2 linked regions of the Oryctolagus cuniculus genome follow. The protein of the gene in region 1 interacts with the protein of each later gene in a biochemical or structural test. Links are inferred from orthologs where the notes say so. Each region holds a gene or a part of one and is shown in the gene's direction. Other genes may lie near its edges.

Region 1 (3,817 bases):
GTTGCTCATCCCTTTGGGTCGCATGGTGTTCATTTCCCACCCATCAGTCTGCTCTTTTCGATGAGAATGGCTTTACAAAAATTGAGTTTATGGTTTAAAAACAAAGTTAAACTTTAAAAAAAAGAATAGTACATGAAGAATAAAGAAAAGAATATTACTTTACATTCTGATATCTGTGCCACAGATAATAGATGCAACACAAATGATTAACTTGGCCAGAAATATTAAGACTGTTTGACATTTAGATCACTGATAGGTGATAAGTAAATATTTGGATATTTATAATCTTGTTTCTCTAGAGAGCACTTGGTATTTTACATGCATGCATGTGCATACATATACCCAAACACATGCGTGCTCACACAAAAACACACACACACAACAGGGACAGGTTAACTAGGTAGGTGGTTGCAATTTTAGATGCCAGCATCAACATAATGCTGGCTTTTGTGGGGAGGTGGCAGAGGGTATTCATTATTTTAAGTCTTATAGTCCCATGTAGGATTTTCTGACAGTTTTATGCATATGATTGGGGTTTTAATTGATCACTTAATATTTCTTGTTTCAATTCTTGTTAATCGTTGTACTCTGATTTCATGGTATTGGGAATCTTGCCCATTAATACTGAAACTGACATGTGTAGGAGTCATTCGCTGACTGACTGAAGGAGGGAAGTGGGTTTAGTTTTCCAGTGTTTTCCATTGTTCCCCCTCAATATGCACGCACACAACAGAGCTTCTCTCTTGCTGTTAACCCTTCCTTCTTCCCGTTTACATGTATCCTGCTGGTCTTTTGAGAAAAGACTAGAGAAGCAGAGAGGATGGAGGGGAGCTGCTTGGTCATTGACCTGCAGCTTACACAGCACTTGGAACTTCCCTTTTAGTATTTATTATGTTTAACAGATTTTGATGGATTTCTCAAAAGTATGATTGACCTTAGAAATATCTTCATGCATATGTGAAAAAACATTTGCTGTCCAGTTTTAATTTGCCAATAAGTATTTAAGTTAGCGCATGTGCAGGCTCATTCAACAGCATTACACAGAGCCAGGAACAGAAAATATGGCCCCTTTTCACTTGTTTATAAAATTTGTTTGCCATCTGGAATGCTTATTTTTGGATGTTTACCTAAAAAAGAAAATCTGCTTAGAATTCCTGAGCTCAACTTACAAATATTTTAAATTCCCAATGGAAAATCCTCTTATATTTGCCTTTCAATTGAACAGACCACTTTTTTTTTTTTTCTTAAAGATTTATTTTTTTTATTTGAAAGGCAGAGAGAGAGAGGGGTCTTCCATCTGCTGGTTCACTCCCTAGATGGCCACAATGGTCGGAGCTGTGCCGATCCGAAGCCAGGAGCCAGGAGTTTGTTCTGGGTCTCCTAAGCAGGTACAGGGGCCCAAGGACGTGGGCCATCTTCCACTGCTTTCCCAGGCCATAGCAGAGAGCTGGATCGGAAGTGGAGCAGCTGGGGCTGGAACTGGCACCTGTATGGGATGCCAGCGCAGCAGGAGGTGGCTTTACCTGCTATGCCACAGTGCTGGCCCCTGAACAGACCACCTTTAAAGAGGAAAAGTTAAAATAGTTTTACCTTTGTTTTCTTAGCTTAGGAACTGTGAGCTTTGTCTTTGACAGCCAAAGCACATTGAGGGCTTGTGATGGTGTCCAGGGTCCATGTCAGTCTGCTTCCCTCCATTTACCAGGATCTGATGGAAGCCCAGATTGCTTTGTGAAGAGTAGCTTGTAAATCTGAAAGATTGAATTCTGTTTAGTGATTCTTTTGGGTGAGTTGGCTTTTTGATTGGCCTGGAAGTTAAAATTAACTTTAAAACAGGTGGTCTTTGAAAACTGTCCTTTGCTAACCAGTTTCAGGGCACCCATGGGGGCCAGGACTCCCCAAGGAAGGAGAATAGTTCATTTTAGAACGAGATCTCTTCTCTTAAGGAGTCTTGGTTTCTCTCGTTTTCACAGTGCTGTTTCTTGCTTCTGCCTTCGTGTCCTGCCCTTGCTTGTGTTGGGAGTGGTTACCAAGTCCTCCCATGACTGTGTTGGTTTTGCAGTGGAGACAGCAGCAGGAAGCGGGGAGGCCTCACTTAGAAGTTGAAAGATTTCAAAGGAAGTCGGGAGGCAGAGGCAGCAGCAGCATCTTCCAGACTCAGCAGCTTCCTCGTGTTTTCTCTCCTAGCTGTCCGCTCTGTGCAAGCACCTGGACAACCTGTGGGAAGAACACCGAGGCAGTGTGGTCCTGTTTGCCTGGATGCAGTTTCTTAAGGAGGAGACCCTTGCCTACCTGAATATTGTCTCTCCTTTCGAGCTCAAGATGGGATCTCAGAAAAAAGTGCAGAGAAGAACAGCCCAGGCCTCTTCCACCAAAGAGCTGGAGTTTGGAGGAGCTACCGGATCTGATGTAGACCAAGAGGAAGTCGTAGATGAGAGAGCTGTGCAGGATGTGGAATCACTGTCAAGTCTGATCCAGGAAATCTTGGACTTTGATCAAGCTCAGCAGACAAAATGCTTTAACAGTAAATTGTTCCTGTGCAGTATCTGTTTCTGTGAGAAGCTGGGTAGTGAGTGCATGTACTTCTTGGAGTGCAGGCATGTGTACTGCAAAGCGTGTCTGAAGGACTACTTTGAAATCCAGATCAAAGATGGCCAAGTTCAGTGCCTCAACTGTCCAGAACCAAAGTGTCCTTCAGTGGCTACTCCTGGTCAGGTAACTGCTTTGCTGATGTAGAGTTTTGCAAAGGGAGATCCTGCCTAAGGAACTTCCTTTATAGGGTTCGTGGGGGAATCAGAGACCTTGGAGCCAGCCCACAAGTTGTTTCGCTCTATGAGGAATGCTGTGGTCTTTCATTTATGTGAATGTAAATGCTTCCATAGCTGCTCTGGGAATGGGCAGTCCTTGGCAAGGGTGAATGCTAAAAAAGTAATTCCTGGAGCAGGTGCTTGGCACAGCAGTTAAGACACAGCTCGGGATGCCCATATCCCATATCGGAATATATGGGGTCAAGTCCTCGCTCTGCTCGTGTTTCTCTCTTCCTGCTAATGTGCATCCTGGGAGGCTCGAGTGCCTGGGTCCTTGCCACCCATGAAGGAGACCCAGATTGAGTTGCTGGCTCCTGACTTTGATCTGTCCTAGCCCCAAGTATTATGGGTATTTGAGAAGAGAACCAGCAGATGGGAACTTGCTTTCTCTTTCTCCTTTCTCTCTCTCTCACTGCCTTTCAAATAAATAATTTTATAATTATATCTTTTTTTTTTTTTTTAAAGGAATTACCAGGGAATTCTGTTGATTTACTTTGTCTGCGAGGGTCCCTCCAACCTCAGGGAAGTCATTAGCCTTTCTTTGTGTAAGGTTGAAATCTGAAGGGGACATTCCTTGGAATGATGAACTGAATCATTTATAGACCTTAGATTAAGTACAGCCTTTGGTTTTCCACTGTTGTTGCCTCTTTGTTAAGGCAACACTTACAACACACTGTACCTATTTAAATTGTACCGTTTGGAGTGGGCGTTTGACCTAGCAGTTAAGCTTCCAGCTAGGACACCTGTGTCTCACATCAGCGTGGCTGGGTTTGATACCTGGTTCTTGCTCCTAGTCCCAGCTTCCTGCTAATACAGACTCTGGGAGTCAAGGGTGATGACTCAGCTAGTTGGATTCCTACCACTTATGTTAGAGACCTGGGTGTTGAGATTCCGTCTCCTGCCTTTCCTTCCCTCTCCCCCTTCACAGCCTTTGTGATCACTGGGTAAGTGAACCAGCAGATAGAAATGCTTTCTCTAGCTCTAGTTCTGTCTCAAACTTTTTAAAAATTTAA
Region 2 (3,817 bases), on another chromosome or scaffold:
TAAACTCCCTTTTTTTTTTTTTTTTGACAGAACATTTGCACAATGTGAATATCCGTGGTTTAGAATTCTCTGAGAGAAAATTCCTTTCCTCAGTCCAGAGCTGAGGCTTTCTCTGGCCAGTTTCCTTGCTCGTTCTCCCTTAAGGCATGCCTTTTCAAGTTCATGTTTTCTCAAAGACTAGCTACTCCAGGGTCCTAATTCTTACAAGGGCCCTCAGTTCCAACTCCTTGCTTCATCCAGGCCAAAGATTTCATCTTCTTTCTCCATGAGGACATCAGAACCCAAACTTCCATTTTATTAAGCGGTTGGGTCCCTGCCGCCCACACAGGATTCAGTTTCTGGCTCCCAGCTTCAGTCTAGCCCATCCCCAGCTGTTGTGGCCACCTGGGGAGTAAACCAGCAGATGGGAGTATGTCCACTCTCTGGCTCGCTCTTTCTCTCCGTCTCTCTCCATCTGAAGTAAGTTTTTAAGAAAGAACTTCAGATGTGTGCCGCGCTGTGGTGTAATGGATAAAGCAATTGCGTGCAGTGCCCACATCCTGTGTGGACGCCGATTTGAGTCCTTGGCCCCTGCACCTGTGTCGGAGGCTCAGAGGAGGTTCCTGGCTTCCAGCTTCGGATCAGTCCAGCTCCGGCTGTTGCAGCCATTTGGGGAGTGAACCAGAGGGTGGAAGACCTCTCTCTGTGGGTCTCTGCTTCTGCCTCTCTGTAATTTTGCCTTTCAAATAAATAAATAAATCTAAAAAAAAAAATTTAAGAAGGGAACAGTTTATAAAGTATAACTAATATGGTATGTTGTAACCAGTACAGTTAATAACTAATATACTGCTAAAAAAGAGGCAGATTATATTTTTTAAAGATTTATTTTATTTATTTGAAAGACAAAGTTACAGAGAGAGGTAGAGGCAGAGAGAGGTCTTCCTGGTTCACTCCCCAGATGGTGGCAACGGCTGGAGCTGCGCCGATCCAAAGCCAGGAACCAGGAGCTTCTTCTGGGTCTCCCACGTGGGTTTAGGGGTTCAAGGACTTGGGGTATCTTCTACTGCTGTCCCAGGCCATAGCAGAGAGCTGGATCAGAAGAAGAGCAGGTGGGACTTGAACCGGCACCCATATGGGATGCTGGTGCTTCAGGCCAGGGCTTTAACCCACTCCGCCATGGCGCCAGCCCCAAGAGGCAGATTATTTACATACTTGTTCTATGTAGCACATTTTAAAACCATGTGATGGCATGATATTTTCTTCTTGTAAGTGTTCACATGCTTTTTCATGTTTATTTTTAAATGGGCAAAGTTTTCCAGACAACTGGAATCCAGCAAAGATGTTCTTTGAAACTTTTCAGAGGATAGCATCATTGTTCGCCTCAGAAACACTCCCATAACTGCATCAAGAGCAAATTTCATGCCCAGGACATTTGTTAAATAATCGCACTCCTTTTCTTTTCTTTTCTTTTTTTTTTTTTTTTTGGAAAGGTAGAGTTACACACAGAGAGAGGGAGAGACAGAGATCTTCCATCTACTGATTCACTCCCCAAATGGCCACAATGACCAGAGCTGGGCCAATCTGAAGCCAGGAGTTGGGAACTTTTGGGTCTCCCACATGGATGCAGGGGCCTTAGCACTTGGGACATCCTCTCTGCTTTCCCATGCCATTAGCAGAGAGCTGGATGGGGAAAGGAGAAGCCTGGATTAGAGCCAGTGCTGCAGGCAGAGGCTTAACGAAATAGCTCTCCTTATGCGAAGCAGAATGACAAACTTTTCCTGTTGACATTTCATTCTCTGTGGCCAAAATGATAAGTTCTAAATTTATTACTTTTGTCTATTGATTTATTCTCCTGTGCCTAAGGGAAAACCAAGTGTATTTTAACTAGTACCTGTAATAGTTTACCTGATATTAAAAAAAAAAAAAAAAAAAAAACAGCAACAACAACAAACTGCTCCTAACAACTTTACTTGTTCTACAATTGTAGGTTACGTTCCGAACAAGAATCTATCACTGTAACATCAACAGCCAAGGCGTGATCTGTCTGGACATCCTGAAGGACAACTGGAGTCCAGCCCTGACCATCTCCAAAGTCCTCCTCTCCATCTGCTCCCTGCTCACAGACTGCAACCCTGGTGAGAGACTAAGTTAGCGCTTTCTAAGACACCGACGTCAGACCTCAGGAACTTGCTTACTTTACTACAATACTATTGTCGATTTTTGATTTCCAAAGTATGCAGCTATTTTCTTTTTAAATTGAGCCTTTTCAGTAGTCTTTTTAGGATCTGTTTTTTGCCAAAAATGAAAAATCACAGTGTGATGATAATTAATGAAAAATCATTTTAGATGGGAAAGTACATTTAAGAATGCTCTAAATTCTCCTGCCAAATAATAAAAAAAAAATTCAAATTGAATAGCTTAATTTTTTTAACTTTTATTTCATGAATATAAATTTCCAAAGTACAGCTTATGGATTACAATGGCTCCCCCCCCCATAACTTCCCTCCCACCCACAACCCTCCCCTCTCCCGCTCCCTCTCCCCTTCCATTCACATCAAGATTCATTTTCAATTCTCTTTATATACAGAAGATCAGTTTAGCATACATTAAGTAAAGATTTCAACAGTTTGCACCCACATGGAAACACAAAGTGAAAAATACTGTTTGAGTACTAGTTATAGCTTTAAATCACAATGTACAGCACATTAAGGACAGAGATCCTACATGAGTAGTAAGTGCACAGTGACTCCTGCTGTTGACTTTACAAATTGACACTCTTGTTTATGGGGTCAGTAATCACCCTAGGCTCTTGTCATGAGTTGCCAAGGCTATGGAAGCCTTTTGAGTCACTGACTCTGATCATATTTAGACAAGGTCGTAGTCAGAGTGGAAGTTCTCTCCTCCCTTCAGAGAAAGGTATCTCCTTCTTTGATGACCTGTTCTTTCCACTGGGATCTCACTCGCGGAGATCTTTCATTTAGGTTTTTTTTTTTGTTTTTTTTTTTTGTTTTTTTTTTGTTTTTTTTGTTTTTTGTTTTTTGGTTTTTTTTTTGCCAGAGTGTCTTGGTTTTCCATGCCTGAAATACTCTCATTGGCTTTTCAGCCGGATCCGCATGCCTTAAGGGCTGATTCTGAGGCCAGAGCGCTGTTTAGGACATCTGCCATTCTATGAGTCTGCTGTGTATCTCGCTTCCCATGTTGGATTGTTCTCTCCCTTTTTTATTCTATCAGTTAGTATTAGAACACACTAGCCTTGTTTATGTGATCCCTTTAGCTCTTAGTCCTATCATTATGATCAATTGTGAACAGAAATTGATCACTTGGACTAGTGAGATGGCATTGGTACATACCACCTTGATGGGATTGAATTGGAATCCCCTGGTATGTTTCTAACTCTACCGTTTGGGGCAAGTCAGGAATAGCTTAATCTTTAATTGGATGCCTACTAGAAGATGTTAATTTGAGAAATGTGGGCTATTAAAATCTGATAACAACCAGGCAGCGCCATACAGATGTAACCTTTTTGGTATCTTAATAACCATGCATCCTGAGAACCTATTAGAACAAAAAAACCTGGATGTTCTTGAACTAGAAAATACCCAAAAAGTAAACAAGGAAATACAGCTTCTCAGAAAAACCAAAGAATTTGTGGTGTACTTCACATTGGAAGTTCTTAATTTCTCTGTGCATGTCTGTATTTGACTAGTTTCTTTTTGACTGAATGACAAACCAGCTGCCAACATTTTACATATTTTGGGTTATTTTAGAAAGTAAATTAGCTATAACATTTTCATTGATGTCCTTAGTGAGGCCATTCTTATTTAAATATTTACTTTAC

What was found.
Region 2: the proteins of RNF14 (region 1) and UBE2E2 form a complex in vitro, tested with the Homo sapiens proteins (2 studies listed by BioGRID). The link is inferred for Oryctolagus cuniculus from reciprocal best matches to the Homo sapiens genes RNF14 and UBE2E2.

Annotation. Positions count from the first base shown.
Region 1 is NC_091437.1:29,524,384-29,528,200, forward strand, and holds part of RNF14 (E3 ubiquitin-protein ligase RNF14), read left to right. Parts: intron 1-1,277; exon of another isoform or gene 1,278-1,316; coding exon of another isoform or gene 1,317-1,388; intron 1,389-2,184; coding exon 2,185-2,712; intron 2,713-3,817. UniProt on the Homo sapiens protein: E3 ubiquitin-protein ligase that plays a key role in the RNF14-RNF25 translation quality control pathway, a pathway that takes place when a ribosome has stalled during translation, and which promotes ubiquitination and degradation of translation factors on stalled ribosomes.
Region 2 is NC_091435.1:159,442,035-159,445,851, forward strand, and holds part of UBE2E2 (ubiquitin-conjugating enzyme E2 E2), read left to right. Parts: intron 1-1,966; coding exon 1,967-2,114; intron 2,115-3,817.